Arabidopsis thaliana: one gene and its partners. The protein of the gene in region 3 interacts with the protein of the main gene of each other region in a pairwise test. Each region holds a gene or a part of one and is shown on either strand. Other genes may lie near its edges.

What was found.
Region 1: the proteins of RVE2 (region 3) and AGL23 interact in a two-hybrid assay, tested with the Arabidopsis thaliana proteins (one large-scale study listed by BioGRID).
Region 2: the proteins of RVE2 (region 3) and ERF2 interact in a two-hybrid assay, tested with the Arabidopsis thaliana proteins (one large-scale study listed by BioGRID).
Region 4: the proteins of RVE2 (region 3) and MYB70 interact in a two-hybrid assay, tested with the Arabidopsis thaliana proteins (one large-scale study listed by BioGRID).

Annotation. Positions count from the first base shown.
Region 1 is NC_003070.9:24,278,441-24,284,171, forward strand, and holds AGL23 (AGAMOUS-like 23), read left to right. Parts: upstream 1-2,896; coding exon 2,897-3,208; intron 3,209-3,342; coding exon 3,343-3,711; 3' UTR 3,712-3,793; downstream 3,794-5,731. UniProt on the Arabidopsis thaliana protein: Probable transcription factor that controls female gametophyte (megagametogenesis) development and chloroplast biogenesis during embryo development.
Region 2 is NC_003076.8:19,170,244-19,176,236, reverse strand, and holds ERF2 (ethylene responsive element binding factor 2), read left to right. Parts: upstream 1-3,280; 5' UTR 3,281-3,482; coding exon 3,483-4,214; 3' UTR 4,215-4,594; downstream 4,595-5,993. Other genes in the region: AT5G47210 (Hyaluronan / mRNA binding family), read left to right, coding at 5,225-5,384, 5,656-5,974.
Region 3 is NC_003076.8:14,750,026-14,756,260, reverse strand, and holds RVE2 (Homeodomain-like superfamily protein), read left to right. Parts: upstream 1-3,172; 5' UTR 3,173-3,288; coding exon 3,289-3,300; intron 3,301-3,760; coding exon 3,761-3,823; intron 3,824-3,912; coding exon 3,913-4,024; intron 4,025-4,155; coding exon 4,156-4,217; intron 4,218-4,302; coding exon 4,303-4,917; downstream 4,918-6,235. Other genes in the region: AT5G37250 (RING/U-box superfamily protein), read right to left, coding at 5,290-5,916. UniProt on the Arabidopsis thaliana protein: Positive regulator for cold-responsive gene expression and cold tolerance. Part of a regulatory feedback loop that controls a subset of the circadian outputs and modulates the central oscillator. Negatively self-regulates its own expression.
Region 4 is NC_003071.7:9,902,891-9,909,042, reverse strand, and holds MYB70 (myb domain protein 70), read left to right. Parts: upstream 1-3,010; 5' UTR 3,011-3,218; coding exon 3,219-4,148; 3' UTR 4,149-4,537; downstream 4,538-6,152. Other genes in the region: AT2G23270 (uncharacterized protein), read right to left, coding at 5,472-5,732.

The DNA of each region.
Region 1 (5,731 bases), on a different chromosome or scaffold from region 3:
TTATAAAATGCAGTATATCTTAAAGTAGTCCTCGTATAAAAACCCTTGCAAGTTGCAACTGTTGAAAATCTAATACAATATTTTAACGCATTTTCCCCCTTTTGACATAAATTCCATAAGTTTCATTTTCTTCAAATTGTAAATTACTGGAGTTTCTTAATCTCTTTTATAACGGATGTACTTATTTAAGAAAAATAGAAAATAAGCATTTGCACAAATTAAGAAAAAGATAAGCATAACCACAACTGAATTAAGAAGGAAGGTTTTGATCGGAGGAAGGTTTTAAAACCACAATTGAAGAAGCCAGCTTGAAAGACCGGGATTAATATATGAATTATGTAGATTTTTATTATTGTGTGATTTGATATTTTCAATTTTAATGTTCTGTTTCAAAGATGATTGACTATATTCCTCGGTTAATAAAGCCAATACATTACAATATATATGACGATATCTGAATGTATAACTCTCTGTAATGTAGATATATTTTTGGTTTCTATGGGGTCAGAGACAATTGCTGCTCTGTGGTTTTTACACACTTGGTTATTTATCGGATGTGTATAGTAGCTTAACATGCTTGATAATTCCATGTATGTGTTTAGAGTTTAGTTTTCATTATCAGATAGATATTAGTTACACTTTATATTGAGGTCCCTAAGTTAAACCATGCATATTCACTATCATTATTTCGGTAAAAGTTAATTATACTCAAGATGGTTTCTCAGTTTGGGGGAGTTGCAAGACTGTAGAAAGACCTTGATCTCCATTGCCTTCACTTCACCATGAGTGAGCTTAAAAGGTAACTTTCATTTTCAAAATGTGATCTTCTGTTATGTCTATGCGATCATTCTAAATGAAACATTAGTAACGTCACTGATATTTCAATACTCAAACTAAACAAACGGATAAAGAGAAAGTGAATTGACTAACAAACTGGTGTATATATGCTTTATATCCAAAGCCTTTTTTCGTTTTGTTTAAGTCGTTCTTATCTCCACTCTCTTTTTTATTTTCTTTGAAGGGCACAATATCACTATTGTATACGGCTTTTGTTGCTAAACTACTTTTTATAACCTATTCCCATGGTGGCAAGAATTTGTTAATGCAATTTCTGGAGAAATAAAGGTAATGTAGTCTCTAGCTGTAAGTAAGGAAATCACTTTAAGAAAATGCAGATACTATACAGGAAATTCGGCTACTCTTGAGAAAAGTCATCTACTTAGGCAAAAGATAAAGTGCAAAATTTAACGTTGATATCCGATATACATAGATAGGAACGAGTACAAATATGAGATTTGTTCTTTACAAAGCAATTTTACATGCACCACCAATACAATCAAAGAAAAATAGGTATCTGCCCAATGTTTTCTGGCGTTTACTTTAGCAAGCAAATCTTGCAATTCATCAAAATGTTTATGAGTTCTTGAAATCATTATAATAATATAAAATATCTAACTTATTTTCCAAATTTTGTCACTTAACATTTAACATTGCCACCACTTATTATAGTTAAAATTTACATTGTTGTAAAGAAATTTCAATAACAAAATATTTAAGAATATTATCCAAGTTTTATTTATTTATTTATATATTTTAATTATAAAACTCCAAATAAAATAAACATTTAAAATAATTAAAATACTATGGCATAGTATTAGAGTGAGTCGATTTCTAGTATAATCAATTATATACTTTTATTGTCAAAATATATAATTTACTCCTACAATGGTAATTTATTATTGTTATAATGTTTGGCATTCAAATTTGTTACCTTATGTGATTGTAAAGTAAAACATAAGATGTCGTCATGTGTCATGTTTAAATTGGATTAATATATTTAAAGATAACATAAACTAGTTTTTAACCTTATCTAAAAAGAGAGTTATACATTTATTTATTTAGATATTTTTAATATGACAATAAAAATTTGAAAATTCGGAGATAAAACATAATTTAATTATTTTTACATCAAAAGTCGGCAGTCTAAAAATTCAAAAGCAGGCGATTAAAAATAAATTATTGGACAACTTTTTTAATTTAGATATTTTTAATACTACAACAAAAAGTTGAAAATAATTTTAATAATGAATTATTATACAATTGTTTTTATTTAGATAATTTTAATCTTATACAAAATACTTGAAAAGGCGGCGATGACATAAAGTATTAAGGAACTAATTTAGTTGGATTCTTTGTAACATCCAAAAATAAAAACTTAGAAAGGGGAATCAATCTTAGAGATGTGTGAAATATATATATATATATATATATGTTTATCTCACAATAAAAACTTGAAGAGTCGGCGATCACAGTTAAAATATCAAACAACTATTACTTAATATGCAATAAGAACTTTGAAAGTCGGCGATCAAACTTAAATTTATATTTTTCAATTTTCTATATAATAAAAGGAAGTTGGACATAATATTTCATTAATGCATTATGAATTTTATATAAATCTTAAACACTTAATAATTATTTATTTTATTTTATAAGATTAGTTTGATTAATAAAAAAGGTTAAAAAGGATATTGACTATAGAAAATAATGGAAAAAATCCTTTAACCAATCATTGGTACCTATATTTGATAGGTTTGTAATAGGAAAGATATCCCCAAAATTTTTAATAACTTGACAGGCTGTAACAAATATAATAGCTAAATGATAATGTTATAGATAAAACTGTAATAATTATATACCTTTTATTGACAAAATCTGTAAATCTGTATCTAAGCCTTAAATGGTAATTTATAATTTATTTCTAATATATAAAATAGGAAATTATATTTACATTTAAAACTCTAAACAAATTTTGTATGTTTTTTTCTATAAATACAAAGACATATTATCTTTAATACAATCAATTCAATTTTTCTTTCTTCAAAACATCTAAAAAATGGTGAAAAAAACTCTTGGTCGTAGAAAGGTAGAGATAGTGAAAATGACTAAGGAATCAAACCTTCAAGTCACATTTTCCAAGAGAAAAGCTGGTCTTTTTAAGAAGGCTAGTGAATTTTGCACATTATGTGATGCAAAAATTGCGATGATCGTGTTTTCACCAGCTGGAAAAGTATTTTCTTTTGGTCATCCAAATGTTGATGTTCTGCTTGACCACTTTCGAGGGTGTGTTGTAGGACACAACAACACAAACCTTGATGAAAGCTACACAAAGCTTCATGTTCAAATGCTCAACAAATCCTACACTGAGGTAAATGTCAATTGTTGGCAATATCTAATATTTGTTTCTCTCTTATTTTTCGATTTTGATATTGAATATTATATAAATGTTTCACAATTCATGGATATTCTTAACAAATTCATTATTCGTGGATTTATTCGTAGGTGAAGGCGGAAGTAGAAAAAGAACAAAAGAATAAGCAGTCGCGGGCTCAAAATGAAAGAGAAAACGAAAACGCTGAGGAGTGGTGGAGTAAGTCTCCATTAGAACTCAACTTAAGTCAATCAACCTGTATGATACGTGTTCTTAAAGATTTGAAGAAGATAGTTGATGAAAAAGCAATTCAATTAATCCATCAAACAAACCCAAACTTCTATGTTGGAAGTTCTAGCAATGCTGCTGCTCCAGCAACTGTTAGTGGTGGTAATATCTCCACAAACCAGGGGTTCTTTGATCAAAACGGAATGACGACTAATCCTACTCAAACACTTCTGTTTGGATTTGATATTATGAATCGCACACCAGGAGTTTAAATAAGTCTATCCTCATTATGGGTCTTGGTACTATAAGTTCATCTCTCTCGTTGTTGACTTTTTAAGTCTCCAATAGTTTGTTGTGTCTTTTTTTTTTTTTTTTTTTTTTTTTTTTTAATTGTTGGTGTCGTATGTCTTTTAATTAAGTCTTGAGTCAATTGGCTTGTTGTTTCTTTTCGTTGTTCTTTGTGTCTTGTAGCTTTCGATGTTTTTTGGTGGAACATGAATAAAGCTATATGAAGTTTTATAATATTTTCATTACTGTGATCTTATATGTTTATTGTGTATATGGAACTATATATTTTTGAGGCATAGTTAATATTCTAGTAATTTCCCAAAGATCTATATAAGTCTAGTAATTTACAACTTTGATATGCTATATTAACTCAGCCAGCACAACCACAAAGCTATAGACATCACTCTTTGCTGTGAATTGGCTAGACTGAAAGTACTCAGGATCCATATATCCCATCGCGAAACTTTGGCTCGATATTTCTCATCTAACATGATGTTTGTAGACTTGACGTCTCTGTGATAGATTGGAGATGATTCAGCCGAGAGCAAGTATGAAAGAGCTCATGCAATATCCACTGCTATGCGGAGACGTACATCCCAAGTAATCATCGTGAAATCATCAGCTTATCGTGAAGATGCTCGAAAAGGTTGCCATTGGGAATAAACTCGTAGACGAGAAGAAGGACATTTGTCTCATTACGGAAACAACCTAAGATTTTCACGATTCTATGGTTAATCTGCGAAAGAATTACAACCTCATTGATGAACTCTTCTAGCTTGTCTGCGTCCACAACTTTGGGTTTCTTTACTGCTACAATTCTAGCATCGACAAGCATTCCCTTGTACACAGTACCTTGACCACCCTGACCAAGTATTCTATTTAGGCTGAAGTTTTCAGTGGCTTTCTCTAACTCACTCGAGCTGAACACTCTTGTCTTCTCGACATTGCCTTCTGTTGAAGTCAATTGTTGTTGCAACAATAAACCCCCAGTACGTTTGAAGAACTTTCTCTTTTGGTTTAGCCTCATTTGTTTTCTACTAAATTTTATAACCAATATACTCCACCAATGAAGATTAACAAGCCTAACCCTGCAAACCGGCAAAAACAAAATGATTAGATATATCTTGGAAATATAAATACTAAAAAATGAATAACTTCTATTTTATTTTATTTTGGTGTGTTGAATATTAACTTCTTTTATTGCTTGTGTAGATGGTAATATTAATTACTAATGGCTAATTAGGGGTGTTAATTTGTGTAAATTCTCATTTATTTAAATGCGAATTACTTTGATCCATACGGACCTATTTAGACCAATTTATAATTTAAGCAATATATATCACTACAAAAAAACGGCCTTTAACGTCATTTTATTTAGATGTTAACCTCGGTATTTATATGACCTAGTTATAATGACATCCGTATTTAATTGACAATTAATAACATCGGTATTTAACTGATTTTGAGATCTAAAAATAAGAAGAAAACTTTAAATACAATTACTGACCTTGGCATCCGACGTATGGGTTGCCGTTGTAACCGCTATTGCATGCACAACTTGCATATCTTAAATTCACATTATAATCACATACATGGATCAATAAATTCCTTCTTATTGTACTCTGTTAAATTCTGGCATCCCAAAGAGTCTATAAACGAAAGATCCGTAGTGTGAATAAACCATCCTAGCTCAACGTGAGAATATCGTAGAGCATGGATCTGTTGTGGACTGTATCTACCCAACATATCATACGGTTCGTCTGTTAAGAAAGCAAATTTGCACCCTTTAGTTGTTGTGTAACTTGTGTTACTATCTTCTATTTTGACACCAACAGTCAACACGTTGAACCCCATAAGGCATGCTTGCCTTGCAGGCTGCAGCATCCAATAGCATTGCAACTTGTTGACCTGAATAGAACACAAGCGTGGAGTATCCGATTCGTCAGCGCTGCCTTGTTATAGCAATTGATTCTTGCAAAGTAATAATCTGAAGCTATAAGGTTT
Region 2 (5,993 bases), 4.4 Mb from region 3:
GCAAAAACATAGTAATATTTTAAAAAAAACTAACAATGTGTACCAATCACTGCCTACATAATTTGTGTCGTCATTTTCCCTTTTATGATATTTTATCCTCTGTATTTGTCTTGTCTGAAATATGCGATCGTCCGTGTAAATGTTGCTAATTCCGTAAATCGTGTTTTTGCTAAAACTTGCCTTTAACTTGATACTTAATTTCTGCACAATAATATGTGATAGAAAATATATTATAATGCTCATTATAGTATAAATTTTTTTTTGAAGAGATATGAACAAAAACATTGGTCAAAAATCACAGTTGTAAGATTAGGTGAGTGCTTTTGTTGGTTGGAAGAAACTTTTTTTTAAAGCAAACTATAGGCGAGTATTTTTTTTTTCCGGGTTAAAACTCTATATATTATTCTATGGATAAGCGCTCTCGTTTAAAGAGAGCCAATCGAGAACCGTTGAACTTACATGGGAAAAATAGAATCCGCGAGTTCTTGCACATTTCGCAAGATAATCTGCTCGGATATTACTAGTACGGGGAACATGCATAATATTAAAAGATACAAGTTGATTCTTAAAATACTCGAAATCTTTTAACTCTGATGCAAAAATGGGCCACTCCTCCGGCGTATTAACCATAGTGAGAAGATCAGAGCAATCCGTCTTAACAAGGACTTCCTTGATTGATAAGTCTACTAAGCACTTTAAAGCCCAAACTAATGTGTCTAGTTCTGCATGAAGCGGTGATAAACAACGACGTGAACCCTTCAATCCTAAATGAAGCAATCTTTCCCCACGGGTCAAAATCCACCCATGACCGCTCCGCGAATCAGTTATATGCCAAGACCCATCAATGAAGCAGATTGGGGAAGCCATATCTATATGTTGCCCTTCCAAACTTGGCTTGGTACCTTCTGGTTGCTCTTCTCTCCTATTGGCTCGCCTCCATACTTCTTCCTCATGTATTGCTAAGTCTAAAGTGTCTTGAGGTTGCACGCAAATACTTTCGAAATTTTTTCGGTTTCGCGCTTTCCAAATATACCACATTATCCATGGAAAGACCCGTAAGCTCTCCTCACAAGCTCCAATCTCATTCGCTCTCCAATACAGATAATCGAGATTATTGTATATAGAAGACGAAAGAAACCTAGATGGAGAGGAGGGAATACCGGATAGCGCCCAGACTTGTCTTGCCGGGGGACATTCAAATATTAAATGATTGATGGTTTCTTCATCCGCCCCACATCTAGGACATTTTTTATCTCTACCAATATGGCGAAAATATAGGCGTTGACAAGTTGCTAAACACTCTGACACACATTGCTACACAAAATGCTTTAGCTTTCGTGTAGTTTTTAATTTCCACGCTTGCGCCTTTAGTGCCGTAACACTAGGTCCCTGAAGAGGGTGGTCGCAAGACGGGCGAGAGAGGGCTCTCGCAGCTTCATATCTTGTCTTGACAGTATAATTACCGAACTTAGTCAATGTCCAACTATATCCATCTCGCGAGACATTTAGCCTCGGTTTTATCCCTAAAATCAAAGTAATATCCTCGGGGGGGGGGGGGGGGGAACAACTCCCGTAGACGATCTACTTTCCACCTCTTCGTCTGGAAGTCAATCAAGGTGTTAACGTAGACCAAAGGGTTCCTATCCATAATTAAACCTTTCGGTGGTCTTGGAGGAGTATCTGGGATCCATGGATAATAGGCGACTATATGTTCTAGGAGGTTGCACAAAGAAAAAGTTTGTTCTAGCATAATATGAGAATAGATGATTTACGTCTTAAAATTAAACTATCACCGACTAATAATAAGCATAATAAGATGTGACTAAAACAACTAAGATTAAATGATGATCATCATGACATTTGAAAATTATATAAACCCAAATCATAAAGAAACAAGAAACAATATGAAAACAATATATTCCTAAGATACAGCAAAAGTGGATGTATGTGAAACGTCCAAAGAGATAATTTGAGGATTAGCTGCGGAGTTCAAACATAAAAACGAAAGTTCAACTACTACTTTCATATTTAATTAATCAAAGTATTTAATTGCAAAACGGAACTTAACCTGATTGGATCCATAAGTATATTATCATTATTCTTTTACCAAAGAAATAAATAAATTCGTTTTTAATCATATTTAGAGCTATTCATGTTCTTGTAATCAATTAAAAGTTTCATTTGTTTACAAACATAACATCATATATACACTCAAAAACAGCAAAATTGAAATAACCATCTGACCAGAATGATGTGTTTGAACCAAAACTACTCTTGGAATCGAATATAGATTAAAAATATATAGTAAACTAATTTTTAGAGAGTTTGAGTGACTATTGACTAAACTATGCTTCCGTGAAGGAGGTCCCTTTTGCAAGTGGACATACGTGAGAGACCCACCATTAATTTGTCTTTGAGCCTTATTGTTGTTATTGACTTTTAGCCAATAGAAAGAGATGGAAATTCAATAATTATCCACAAAATTCCAAATCATTGGTGTACAAAAAGATCTAAGGCTGTTATATTTTCAAAAAAGAAAGAAAAGAAATGCAACAAATATGGATTAAACTGTGGTTTGTAAATTGAGCTTTGCATGAAAACTTTATCACTATGATTTCACTACTCCATATTTATTGACTAAAGTGGCACTAATGAATTTCTTAATCATGAAATCTTGTATCAAAAAGTACTAAAATAAACATGACATTGGCAATTAGGAAAATTCTAAATTAGAAATTAGTAAAAATGAAAGGTGAAAGGGAAAGATGATGATATGAATTGGTTGGTGACCAGGAGAAATGTATCCCGATTTTTGCAGACACTTTCAGTGTCCCCATTCATATAATTATGGCCCACCTCGTTAAGATTTTTCATTCACCACCATAACAAGATCTAAGCTTAGATTTCATGTAATTAAACATATAATATACTTGCCAATACTATCTAATAAAGTATACTTAAGCAAAAATTATTACTCTAGTGTAAGGCGATGAAATATAAGTTTAGTTGAAAATTTATGTCGATATAACAAAGTATAATGAATTAAGACCTTGGTTTTCGATTAACAAACTAATTAAACACTAGTTTTGCCTAATAAAACCGGGAATCGTATTCAAAACCGAACGACAAAACAAGGGACAAGTTGAGAGACAAAACCAAATCAGCATCTTTCTTCCAGAAATGTCATGACCACATGACGTCATCTTGACCCTTCTTCATTGTGATATCTGTGGATAAAGCGCACGTGTTTAATTCACGAACCTTCGTAGTAACGAAAAATCCACAACTTTCATATTTTTTAATTACCCACTAAACTAAAACAAATTTGGAAAAACATGAAAAACTTTTTCTTTTTTTCCAGGTTCGTGAACCTCGTACCCTCTATATAAACCTCTTAACCACCTTCCACATAGAAAAAAGTTCAGATATTTGATAAATCAATCAACAAAACAAAAAAAACTCTATAGTTAGTTTCTCTGAAAATGTACGGACAGTGCAATATAGAATCCGACTACGCTTTGTTGGAGTCGATAACACGTCACTTGCTAGGAGGAGGAGGAGAGAACGAGCTGCGACTCAATGAGTCAACACCGAGTTCGTGTTTCACAGAGAGTTGGGGAGGTTTGCCATTGAAAGAGAATGATTCAGAGGACATGTTGGTGTACGGACTCCTCAAAGATGCCTTCCATTTTGACACGTCATCATCGGACTTGAGCTGTCTTTTTGATTTTCCGGCGGTTAAAGTCGAGCCAACTGAGAACTTTACGGCGATGGAGGAGAAACCAAAGAAAGCGATACCGGTTACGGAGACGGCAGTGAAGGCGAAGCATTACAGAGGAGTGAGGCAGAGACCGTGGGGGAAATTCGCGGCGGAGATACGTGATCCGGCGAAGAATGGAGCTAGGGTTTGGTTAGGGACGTTTGAGACGGCGGAAGATGCGGCTTTAGCTTACGATATAGCTGCTTTTAGGATGCGTGGTTCCCGCGCTTTATTGAATTTTCCGTTGAGGGTTAATTCCGGTGAACCTGACCCGGTTCGGATCACGTCTAAGAGATCTTCTTCGTCGTCGTCGTCGTCGTCCTCTTCTACGTCGTCGTCTGAAAACGGGAAGTTGAAACGAAGGAGAAAAGCAGAGAATCTGACGTCGGAGGTGGTGCAGGTGAAGTGTGAGGTTGGTGATGAGACACGTGTTGATGAGTTATTGGTTTCATAAGTTTGATCTTGTGTGTTTTGTAGTTGAATAGTTTTGCTATAAATGTTGAGGCACCAAGTAAAAGTGTTCCCGTGATGTAAATTAGTTACTAAACAGAGCCATATATCTTCAATCCATAAACAAAATAGACACTTTAATAAAGCCGTGAGTGTTAATTTTTCAATCTAGTTTCATTTCTTACATGACATTCACGGCTTTATTAAAGTATTACACCATATCCCCTAATACAATCTCTTAACTCAATTTGAGTTCTATATTGCTAAGTAGCCAAAACTTGATCGAAGAGGTAACAATTACTAAAACCAAAATCCATCAACAGTAGCGCGACAATAAATAATAACCTATCTATTTTAGATTTTTTTTTGTTGTAAATGTTGTGAGCTTAAGTGTGTAATCACTTGTAAATGTTTCTGTTTGATACTCTTGAGAAGATGAAGCTGTCTAAGGTCGACAAGCAAAGGCTCTGCTAGAGAAAATTCATTTAAGCAATCAATTTATATCTTTGATTTTTGAAGCACATAAAACTTTGAACCCAATAAAGGTTTAGAATGAGAAAAACCGTGTCTCGCCTAGAGGATTCAGTATTGAAACCCAGTTATTCTCTTAATGGACTAAGAACGAATATTCTTTTCATTAATGGGCTTTAACCAACGAGAGCTGATATTTATTATTGTTAATGGGCTTAACCAGTTTGTAGCCCACGGATAGATAAAGAGAGGACCAGAACACAGTTAAATAGCACCCGCCGCAGAGAATAATAACTCAGGAAGGGTTTATAGATTAGGTTTTTAAGTCGCACCTCTCTCTCTCACTGCCGCATCTTTTCTTAGGGTTCTTGTTTCGCTATCTCTTAAACACAAACAGCTCTGTCCGAATAATCTCTCTTCAAGTACCTCTTTTTTCTGATTCTGTATATCGCCATGAATTACTGATTTCCCTCTCTATAAACCCATCAAAGTAAACCAATTTCTCCTGTGACTTGTACCTAACTCGATCTTACCAGACTGGTGATGGCGTCTTTGAACCCTTTCGATCTTCTAGGAGATGATGCTGAGGATCCAAGCCAGCTCGCTGTGGCTTTGTCTCAGAAAGTCGAGAAAGCTGCTGCTGCTGTTCAGCCTCCTAAGGCCGCTAAGTTCCCAACCAAGCCGGCTCCTCCTTCTCAAGCAGGTAAAAGTTCTTTCCTTTATGTTGATACTTAACAGATTTAGATTCAGCTGTGTTTTGTCTAGTGTTTGATTGATTAGTTCTAGTGAAGTTTGTTTATGGTTGTCATGAAAGATCCATAGTCAAATGTGTGTGCTTTTTTCATTTGCTGCTTTGTTAGTTTCTTCCGTATCTTATTTTGTTTCTCTACTGCTTTGTTAGATTAGGGTAAAGCTTAATACTTTGTTAGATTAGGATAAGTATATATATTGAAAGCTTTTTGTTATGAATGTAGTGAGGGAGTCGAGGAATGCTCCTCAAGGAGGTCGTGGTGGGACTGGTGGACGTGGTGGATTTTCCCGTGGCAGGGGTAATGGTGGATACAACCGGGACAACAGGAACAATGATGCTCCTGGAAATGAGAATGGATTTTCTGGAGGATACAGGAGACCTTCTGAAGATGCTGATGGAGCAAGCCGTGGTGGGTCTGTTGGTGGATACCGTGTTGGCGGTGGTCGTGAAGGACCTCGCCGTGGTGGAGTTGCCAACGGGGAATCTGGTGATGTTGAACGCCCACCGAGGAATTATGACCGCCATAGCAGGACAGGTCATGGGTAAGCTTTCTTTTTGTTC
Region 3 (6,235 bases):
CAACGACTATACACTTAGGGTCAATTCTCAATTTCCCATATAGATATTTGTTCGTCCATAAGTTTAGATTGTTGAAAGAACTCTCACTTGCACCGACTGTTCTTTATAGTAATCAAATAGTCGTCGGTTAATAATGAAAAAGTATATATTTCGATTTTTCTTTAAAAAAAGCAACAAAAATACATGAACCAAGAACTTCTTAGTGGCCACTACACCAGTATTTTACTGGTACAAGTATTTTTCTAAGAATATTATAGATTCGTAAGATCTACAAAAAAATGTAGCGATTGAAGAAAAAAAAAACATGAACTCGATAGCTTAAAACACCGAAAAAAAACGAGTGGGCAACAAATTTTTGGTAATAAAAAAATAATCGAGTGGCGTAGAATAACAAACCATCCATATCCCTATCCTTCTCTCTATTACCTAAACACAACGACACGTGTCTGACTTTTGGAACATCTCAGAGGACAACACTTTTGTGCTGACTAGGCAATAAAGTGCAAAACAAAAGTGTTGTTTTTTTTCTCCTCTTTCATTTTGAGACAGTTGTACCAAACAATTTCTAATTTGGATAAATGGTTTTTTTTTTCATTGAAGACTTCCAGATATTTATTTTACAATTTTTGTCCTTCACATAAAATACCTATTTAATTTTGTTTTGAAGTTGACGGCTACTGAAATTTAAATATCTCTTTCTTCTTTTTAAACAACGCTCGTGTATGTTTTTATTTAGCTACTCGCTTTCTTTGCCACATACTTGGGTCAAAAGAGAGCACTCCAAAAATATATGATCTGTCATTTGAAACCTAACTATTCCTGATAAGTCTAGGTTCATAGTCTAAAGTTCTTGGCCCTCATTTAGGTATAAATAGTCTAAATTTAAAGTATTTAAGCAAAAACAATACTGAGAAGAAAAAAAAAAAAAAAAAAAAAACTACGGTAAAATTTCTAGAAATGTTTAAGAAAAATCTAACTAAAATCAAAAGAATAGCGTATTAAAATACTAATTTTATTGGATTAACTTAATTTGATGAAAATGTCTCTTAATATTTATGGCGATATGTATGTTGGTTGGACTTTGAAATTGTTTTTATAGATTTAATAAGATGAACATTTTGTTCTTGCTTGAGAGTGGCTGGGTACACAATTTTTTTCACTTTGTTCATGCTAAAATTCAGTTTTGTCTTCTTATATTTACATCTAAGTTTATGTTTGATTATCTGAAACCCAAATTATCAAGTATTTTACGATTTTTTGAAATAAACGAAATCTGTTTATTTCCTTATTCAAATTTTATAAAATTTTGTAAGAGTGATTTGATTGAAAATGGACAACATTTGGAGACATTTTCAAAAAAAAATGTTATAAAAGGTTATTTTAAAATGCTTTCAAAAATATCAATATAATAAAGAGCGTGATTATATTTTAATTCAGAATTATTTAAGTGATCGAAAATATCATAAATTTTGTATAATTAGAGCATTTGTTCTGATATGCGACATATTTTACTATAATTTTATAGGAACCATATAAATTTAATTTTTTAACTAATTCCAGTTGCACATTTGTTTAGATGAAAATGATTTGATTGCTGCATGATATAATTTATTTACATTTAAGCATATATTTTATTCTATTTTGATGAATTGTGTGGTATTTTCGTACTTAAATTTTGATATATTGTATGTAATTGTACAACATACTCAATCATATGTTATTACTTCTAATAATTTGAATATGGACATACTCAGAAAGGTATCAAGGGCTCTTTCTCTAGCTATTGTTTCTCATATAATCTTTTCAAAATCATATATCATCACCAACTATACTCATCATTCTCGGGTACTATGAGCTCTAACTAGTGGAATGGTACTAGAACTTTGACACACCGTCTAGTTGAGATTATAGAAATTAAAGATTATGTTATATATAGTAGAAACAAAGTAGGCCAAATTCTTATAGAAAAGAATAAACAAAATTAATATAAAAGATAAATGAAAAAACGGTCTTGAATTATAAACAATTTGCTAGGTGTGATTCAACATTGTCTTTATTCAATACTTGTTGGGTCATAAACATTCAAATTGCATATTATTGTTACTCTAGTATTCAAATTGCATATTATGTTTTATCTAAACTAACTTATATATTTATTTTGATAAACATGTCATATGATATTAAACTTATTTTCAATTGATCATCTTCTAAGTTGATGCATTTTAGTATTTTATATTCAAATTTTGAGATCTTAGTATGTAATATATTTTCAGGTTTTTACTATTCATCAGTTTGATGATGCAAATATACATAGTACGAATAAAATGAGTGAAATTGTTTAATTATATGATCAGGAAGAAAAAATAATATTCCAAAATCCAAATTTTAGTGGGTAATTCTTAGCACAAAAACAAATTTTGTTTCCAAATATATCACATATTTTTCAATGTTCCACAAATAGCATTAATTGTTGAAATTTGTTATGAATAAGAATATGTTCTATAACATTATATGAATTAGAATTATCAATAGATAAAGTGTGTCAACTCAAATCGCTAAATTGTTGAAAACAATTTAATAATATATTCATTTAATATATTCTCATGTCAATATGATATGATTAGATCTATTTAGTGAGATCTTATTTAATTGTTAATTCTAATAAAACAAAAATAGTGATTATATTACTAATAAATAATATAATTGTTTAATCTTATTTTATGGAACTGTATTTCTCAACTTCAATTAAATACTGTACCTAAACCTAAAATTAAATATGCAATCAACTTGATTAATAAAAAACAACAAAATGGGGTAAGAAGTAAACAACGTTGTTAAACAAGACACGCGCTCACCAGTCGCGAGTTTGGCAATAATCATGAAATGAGCTTCTTTAAAAAAACTTTCTAGTAGATAAATTAAACAATTAAAAATCTCCGACAAGATTTAACAAAGAACAGATAATATCTTCTCCGCAAAGACAAAAGTGAAAGCGAAGAAGAAATCCTCCACGTGTCATTAGCATCTTTTAACCTGAGCCACATGATACTAGTTTCTCGAAACCCCTCTTTACGCTTTTTCACCCAAATTTTTATAAAAAGAAAAACATTATGCTTACGTGGCTTATCTTCTTCTTGCTCTTTTAAAGTAACCCCTTGACTCTGCTCCTTTCATAAACAACAACTCTCTCACCAATCTCAAAACAATTCTCTCTCTCTTTATTCTTCTTCTTCAGCTTCAGATTTCAGATCTTAAATCTTCAAGTCTTCTTCTTCTTCTTCTGCAACCATGGCTATGCAGGTTTGAGATCTATCTTCTTTGTTATTCTTTATGCAATCTTGATCTTGGTTTTGTTACTGTTGTTATGTTTCAAGTCTTGTGGAATCCAGACAGATTTAACCTAAACTTAGGTTTATGTCCGAGAGAAAATAGGTTATTTTGTTATCTAATTTCAAGTTTAATCTCTTTGTCTGAGAGAACTTGGAACTGAAGATTATTCGATTGTGGCAGGTTAAAAATTGTGTTAATAGACCAGGCGATTATGTGGGATATTATGGTCGGTTGTTTTAAAGAGAGATTACTTCTTTCTTAATGTATTGATCCGTATTAGGTAAGAACATGTCTCTAATCCCCTAATTATTACTGGTGGTCTACCTCTTCTAGTTGCGTATTAATTAGTTTTATTAGACTCTTTGTAACATTTAATTACTCTTACAATATATTAAGAGACTAATTGTGTTTTCTTACTTTGTGATTATAGGAACGTTGTGAGAGTTTATGTTCTGATGAACTTATATCTTCCTCAGATGCCTTTTACCTCAAGGTACTAATTTTGTTTCTTAATCTCTTGTTTACTCTTGATTGGTTTTGAACTTAAATATGAGGTTAATTTAGGGTTTGTTTTGTTTATAGACAAGAAAGCCTTATACCATCACTAAACAAAGAGAGAAATGGACAGAAGCAGAGCATGAGAAGTTTGTAGAAGCATTGAAACTCTATGGCAGAGCTTGGAGACGAATCGAAGGTGTGTGTGCTTATCTGACTTTAGAGAGTCTAATGCACATTCTAATCTAAGTTTGATGAAGATATAAGAAAACTACTTGGACCCTAGTAATGAGTAGAGATCTGACTTTTGTTGGTTCTTCTATGGAACAGAACATGTTGGAACAAAAACTGCAGTTCAGATTCGAAGCCATGCGCAGAAGTTCTTTACTAAGGTTTGCCTTCTTGCAGACCCTTATACATGAAAAAGTTTCAACCTCTTCGTGTTAAGCAAGGTCTAATTCAAGTTTTTCTTATTAGGTTGCTCGCGATTTTGGTGTTAGCTCTGAGTCCATTGAGATCCCGCCTCCAAGGCCAAAGAGAAAGCCGATGCATCCTTACCCTAGAAAGCTTGTGATTCCTGATGCAAAAGAGATGGTATACGCTGAACTAACCGGATCCAAGCTGATTCAGGATGAAGATAACCGATCTCCAACATCGGTTTTATCAGCTCATGGCTCAGATGGATTAGGTTCCATTGGTTCAAATTCACCTAACTCTTCTTCAGCTGAGTTATCATCTCACACAGAGGAATCATTGTCTCTAGAAGCAGAGACCAAACAGAGCCTTAAGCTCTTTGGAAAAACTTTTGTAGTTGGTGATTACAACTCTTCAATGAGTTGTGATGATTCTGAAGATGGCAAGAAGAAGCTATACTCAGAAACACAGTCTCTTCAATGTTCTTCTTCTACTTCAGAAAACGCTGAAACAGAAGTGGTAGTGTCGGAGTTCAAAAGAAGTGAGAGATCAGCTTTCTCTCAGTTAAAATCGTCGGTGACTGAGATGAACAACATGAGAGGGTTCATGCCTTACAAAAAGAGAGTAAAGGTGGAAGAAAACATTGACAATGTAAAATTATCATATCCTTTGTGGTGAAGTGTTCGTTTGTGTCAAGTCAGTTGTGTAAACTCTTTTGATCTCAACATCAGATTATGTGTATAATGTCAGAGTATTAGGGAAAGTTTTTTTGGATTAGATTCGTAAGATCACTCCAAAGTTTCGTGTCTTTCCATATAACCAGTTAGAAATTGAGATCCTTGTACTTAAACATTTTTATTTGATCAATCAAATCTTCTTGATAACTCTAAATTGTTGTACATAATAGTAGTCTCTATCAAGCATTTCATTCGAAAGGATTAACAAAAAAGATTAGGTTTACAAAAAATACATCAAAAGCAAATGTTTGAAACATAGAAACAAGTAATGCATCATAAACCCTAAGACTAGCTTCAAGTCTCTGTGACGGTTTCACTCTGTTTCAAGATCTTCCTCGTACGGTACTCGTCGACACAAAGGACACGACCTCTGACGCTTAAGCCACTCAAAGATACAATTTTGATGGAACAAATGGAAACAGTCAGGTAACAGAATGATGTTATCATCATGACTCTCCGAAAAGTCCTCCAAACAAATCGAACAAGTGGTTTCTTCTTCATCTCCCAAATCAGTCAATTCCATTGTTTGTTCCTCAAGCAATCTTTGAAACGTATCTGTCGACCTAACAGCAATAGACGAGAACATAACATCTCTTGTCACTTCCACGTATAAGGACACACTAAAAGGTTGGGGAATATGAGCACAATCCAAAACGATCCTTTCGCTCAACAATCGACAAAACTCAGTATGTGTGATGAACTCGTCAAGGTCTTGATAGATGTGATGTGAACTGAGACATGATGGTTTCAATTCGATTTTAGTCATAAGTGGAGCCGCGAACGTTCCCAAACACATTACGACACCGTTTTGATCTTCAGCTAACTCGTTGACCACATCTTGTAGATTGACGAACACGGTGTTTCTAAACCCTTGATCTTGTGGTAGGATCATTGCTGTTGTAGTAATCTTTACGGACACCAAATTACTATATGTATTCATGGTGGAAGAAGAAGAAGAAAAAGAAGATTCAAAGCCTAACTTTTGATATGAAGAGATAAGATTGTGAAATCAAAGAGAAGAGATCGATGAAATTGACTTAAAGTGAGGCTGAGTGAATTAATATATATATAGAGAGATATTTTACGTTTCGACGCTTCAGTTGGAAAAAAGGAAATCATAAACAAATTTGTTGACGAAAAAGGAAATTAAGGAAAGGAAAACTTTGACCAAAAAAGAAAAGAAAAGGAAAACATGAATTTAGTAAAAATAAAAATAAAAAGGAAACAATCAGTTTTTTGATAAAAAGGAAATTTAGATT
Region 4 (6,152 bases), on a different chromosome or scaffold from region 3:
TTAAATAAACTCATTTCGAGAGATAGCTTTACAAGGAACTGAGAGATATATGGTCACATGCTTTTTTTGTTCCGGCAGTCACATGCTTTTCTCTCGACAAAAGTAGATATTACGTCTCGATGTGAGTATATATAATGGAATTGACACAGACCGAACGGAATAATTTCCTTTCTCGTGAAAGAATATAATTTTAAGAATTGAGTTACAATACATTCTCCCTCAAAATTCGTAATGAAAAGTTGTACTTTCTTAAAGGAAAAAACTATTGTTTTATAATACTTTGATGGACGTACCACTTAATAATGTATTACATTCACTACATCACAAAGTAATACTTGTATGATACATCAAGGGACAGAGCATATTGATTATCATGAAAAACTACTATAGTTGAAAATCATAAAAAAACAAAAGCACATTGAGATACATATCATATAATGGGGGAAAAAACACTCATACGCCTAAAAATTTCCAATGCATACCACTTCATGTTCGTAGATTTATTCAGAAAACGTGTAGGGTATCAGGATAATGAGAGAAACATTAATCAAATCTCACGTGAAGGGATGCAGAGTTAGTAAATGAGATATACAAGTACGATTGCGGACCACACATACACTTATACATGTTACTCGGTCAATGTCATTAATATTTAATTTGAATAAGAAAATACCAACTACATAAATGATTAGTGGTAATAGTATATACAATTATGGGAAGGAAGAATTTGGTAGTAGATACGATGGACCAATAAGGGAAAATCTCATACCGTATCTCCATTAATGACACCTTCTTGTTTAATCTATAAAATTTGGCTTCGATAATTAAACAGAATCTTAAGAACTCTTTTCGATATCTCTTACCTTATCTAACTATAACTTGAAAGAAGAGAATGAGGAAGCTCACGACAAGGTTCATGTTGGCATTGGAACATGTGCAGGCGACGTTTTTTGTGCGGTACACGGCTGATGTACGGTTTAACGTATTCCTTTGTATATGAGTATCATGTTGACAACAAATAAAACGACAAAGGAAATGAACTTTACTTCAACATAAATCTTTTAGACATGTTAAACTAGCTTATATCAAACAATGAATAGTAACGATAGGCTCTCAAAACTCTAATCGATCTATCCTGTCGTTTTCGATTTACGTAAGAATCTTATTAGTATCTTTTTGAATATCCAAAATAACTGATTTTTGTATATAAAAAGTAGTAATAATATTGGCATACAGGCTGGCTTCTTTAGTCAGAAAAGTCTCTGAAGAATCCAACAAAAAACCTAAACCACTTTTAACGTCATCCTTATCTTCGTTTTATTTTTCTTTTAATCAGAAAATCAAAAACAAAAACAGAAGAAACTGGAATCACTCAATAAGTATGGATACTTTACTTATACGTTTCTAATATGTATAGATACGTCAATTCAATACGCAAAATACAATTTCGAAAAAAGCGACGTTTGTGTTTCAGTGCTTTTAAATTGAAAACAAAATGTGTTTTCACACAACAAAATAAAAAATAAAAATATTCTTAAATTTGTTGTGAAACCAATACAAAATACAACGTTCAAAAAAGAAAAACTAAAACGACACACGACATATATGATTTTATAATTAAAGTCGAAGGAAAACGTAATTTTTTCTAAATCTAATGAAAATACCAACAAAAGTTTTTAAACTTAAATCGAAAGAGACCGAACCCAACAACTAAAATCATAAGCAACTAAACACAAACCCTTTAAAAAACATTAGTCTTCAGAATCAATAAATCCTTTATTTTGAAATAACTACGGATAAAATTTATTAAGTATATGCGATCAAACCAAAGATAACATTAATTACTTTCTATCGATATAAGAAACAGTCCCGTCTCAAGCTATAATTGAGCCTTTGCCAAAATAAAAATAAAAACTAAAATCTCTTAATAAAATTTTGTTTTAAGAAAATTGGGCCTTTTATGCTTATGATTGTTTTTAAAATCAGTAATAGATCCATGGCATTTGCCTAATTTGCCATGGGGTAAAGACGGTCTTGATAAGAGTCAATCTTTCACAACCTAAACTAAAGATTTTATAATCCGACAAATAAAACGACCGAAAAAACTTAAATACGTTTTTAGATACGACAACGATAATTAATGTGCATCTAATTACGTTTAAATAGAAATCTTCAAAAATTCGACCATACCAACACTGATATGCAAAGGAAAAACAAAGAATGTAACCTTCAAAATGCAAAAAGAAAAGATAATTAAAAAAGGAAATAACTTAAAAACGAAATGATTTAAATTAAATAAAAAAACGATCCACCTGTGAAACGCTCTCAAGTACCACAAAATGTACTCTCTCTATCACACACAGTTACATATTTCGTTGACAGCTGTCCCCACTAACAGCTGTTTCCCAAATCCCCAACCGTTTTCTTGGAAAGATTCTCTCTTTATTTTAGCCTCACTCTCTCAGACGCATTTCCCCCAATCGCACCGCCACTCCCTGACGTGCTTTTTTCTTTCTCTTTTAAATATTCAAATACGTATCAGACTACTCACGTTACATCTTCTTCATAACTAATCCAATTTAGAAATTACGCAAAATTACTTAAATATGTAGTTTTTCTAAATAGTTTTACATAACTACAATATATAAGAATTTTTAATTTGAATTTATTTTTTGAAAAAGGTTTGCATTTATAATTTGATGTAATATGATTTGATTTTAGTTTAATATCTTTGTTTAGTTATAGTTAGAAATACAGTACATGTTTAGTTATAATTTAACATTCATTAAAAAAACATTACATAATAATTTGTTTAATAGTATATATTTTAATAAATTTTAGTTTAGAGTTTATTTTGTTTGGTTCAAACTAAATTTCAGTTTTCTGGATTTTAAAATAATAAAACAAAACGGCATATACTTACATATTTAATTTGGTGTCAGTTAACTTATTTCAATTTGATTCAGTTGAAAACATAATTATGCACGTAAATAATCCAATTTACAGTTACGAAAAAATTAAGTTGTTGTTAACTAACGATAAAAAATTACCGGTAGAACCGGTGACCTCTCTAACCATCACACCTCGTATAAATACTCTCTCCTCTTCATACTTATCCTCTCAACAAAAATCGTTTCGTTCTTTTCCAAAATCCCCAAACAATAGAAACGCGTTTTAAACGATTTGATTAGTTTTAAATTAAAAAGAAGATCCGAGCGATGTCTGGTTCGACCCGGAAAGAAATGGATCGGATCAAAGGACCATGGAGTCCTGAAGAAGACGATCTGTTACAATCGTTGGTTCAGAAGCACGGACCAAGGAACTGGTCTCTGATAAGCAAATCAATCCCTGGACGTTCCGGTAAATCTTGCCGTCTCCGTTGGTGTAATCAGCTTTCTCCGGAGGTAGAGCACCGTGGATTCACGGCGGAGGAAGATGATACGATTATACTAGCGCACGCTCGGTTTGGTAACAAGTGGGCGACGATTGCACGGCTTCTCAATGGTCGCACTGATAACGCGATTAAGAATCACTGGAACTCAACGCTGAAGCGGAAATGTAGCGGCGGAGGCGGCGGAGGAGAGGAAGGGCAGAGTTGTGATTTCGGTGGTAATGGAGGGTATGATGGTAATTTAACTGATGAAAAACCGTTAAAACGGAGGGCGAGTGGTGGAGGAGGAGTTGTTGTGGTGACGGCGTTAAGTCCAACGGGATCTGACGTCAGCGAGCAATCGCAATCTAGTGGATCTGTTTTACCGGTTTCTTCTTCTTGTCATGTTTTTAAACCGACGGCGAGAGCTGGTGGAGTGGTGATTGAGTCATCATCGCCGGAGGAGGAGGAGAAAGATCCGATGACTTGTTTGAGGTTGTCTTTGCCTTGGGTCAATGAGTCAACAACTCCACCGGAGTTGTTTCCGGTGAAGAGAGAAGAAGAAGAAGAGAAGGAAAGAGAGATTTCTGGACTTGGTGGAGATTTTATGACGGTGGTGCAGGAGATGATTAAGACGGAGGTTAGGAGTTACATGGCGGATTTACAGCTAGGAAACGGCGGAGGAGCTGGAGGAGGAGCAAGTTCGTGTATGGTGCAAGGAACTAATGGTCGTAATGTAGGGTTTAGAGAGTTTATTGGATTAGGTAGGATCGAGTAGTGAGTGAGAAAAGAGAAGAATTGTGTAGCAAATGCAGAGAAAGAGCCAATTTCATGATTTGAGATTTGATTCATTCGAAAAAAAAACTGAATAAATGTATTGATTTTGATCATGACATGTCTTAGATTTAATGAAATTGGTCTATAAAAGGGTTGATGAGGCTGGTCCTCGAGGTGAATCAATGTTACCTTTTGATAAAGTGAAAGAAGAGCATGAACAAAGTCATTTCCATACAAAGAGGAGTTTACAGCATTCTTGATCTCTCTAGACTGGTCTTGCGATTCGAAGAGTGAAGTAATGAATTCTACTGAACCAAGTGACGATTTCCGTAGTTTGTTACCTTCGGTTACCGACTATAGCATCGCAGTAAAGGTTATAGTGTGAGAGACAACATCATATATAGATATTCAATGAATGATACAGAGTGTAGAACAGATCACCTCAATACAACTAACTGTAGCAGTAAGGCCTCTACCGGGGAAATACTCAAAGCACAAGGGAGGTCCTTCCCAATACTGTGGCTCTGCAAAAAAGAAAGAGTTTGATTGTGTTAATAACTATCAAGCGGTGTAAGATTACTGATGTTTGACAAGCAAATACCTTCCAATAGGATGTATGGTACCTTTCTCCATAGCAGCTGCTACAACTAATGCTTCCTTTTCACAATTTGGCATACAATACAACAAGGAGTCACACTTGCATCAATTCCTGCTTGATGATGTCCATAAATGGGTTCAATTGCTTTGCACGTAAGGCTCCTAATGTTTACCTATATAATGGAGAAGAAATATGCACTAGATATGTGTATAACTTGTTGTCCAAGCCAAATTTCCACAGCTCCATCCGGAACAACATCCTTCAGAAACTATCTAAAGAATTGGTTAACTTCAATTTCCACGGAAATCGCGATTTCTTGGTTAAAGTTGAAGTGGATGTAGCTGTTAAAGAGGTAAGCTTAGGTGATTATCACTCAGAAGAAGGTTAAAGTTAAGTCGCTTCTTTTTGCTTTGTGGATTTGGAGCTTAACTATGTTGTTATTGAAACTCATTAAAAACATGAATATCCAGTTATTCATTCACATAATCAGAATAATAAATTAATTACAATATATATTACATTGTACATTATTATCAAATGAATTTCAATAAGTTAACAAAAGAATATTCCTACAGAGAACAAATGAGGTTCTTCCAATTCTTGATTTTCCCAAGTTCTAAGCATAAAAAGAAAAATCTGAATAATTAATCTGAAAAAAAACTAAACAAAGCAATCAATTTCCGGAGCTAGACCAAAGCAGCCACATTAACTGGTTCGGTCGGGAACTTAGTGACCGGGTCCACTCGTGCTGGGACCTGAATGCTTACCATATTCAAGCGTCTCAGTCCGGTCCACGAACCGATGACCCTCACCACCAGAGCTAGGACCCGACTCCTTAATCGCCCCAAGTGACAAACCATCGAAGAACTTAGCCACGAGGTTCTCTTCAGCCTTCGTTAAACCCAAAGGACGAGCCTCCACCACAAAATTCGAACTCACCAACATGAAAAACAGAAACGAACCCAAAACAACTTTGTTCATCATCATTTTCTTTGAGTGGTATTTTTGAGTAGTAAAAACAAAAATGTTTTTTATTTTATTTTTCTTGTGTTCCCTAATTTATGAGATGACTAAATTTGTTGTGAGTAGTTTGTGGACTTGGGAGTTAGAATATATAGTAAAGTGAAGAGCCTTGAAGAAGAAGAAAAGTTTGACATTTTCAGTTTTTGACTTCATAAGCTTAAAATTCAACAAGACGTGAGATTTGAATTTTAGGCTCCTTCCTGGGAAAATACTGAGGTTGCTTCTTGTTCTTGGTCTTCCAATTTCTTTTTAAAAATATAATTTGCGAACATATAAAGCCATCAACGAGGAATGGAGATTAGTTATTTGGCTGAAGAAATTAAATGATTTTAATTTTGTCTCTGATTGTTTGGAATAGACTTTTAGTTGTAGACCATAAACTAT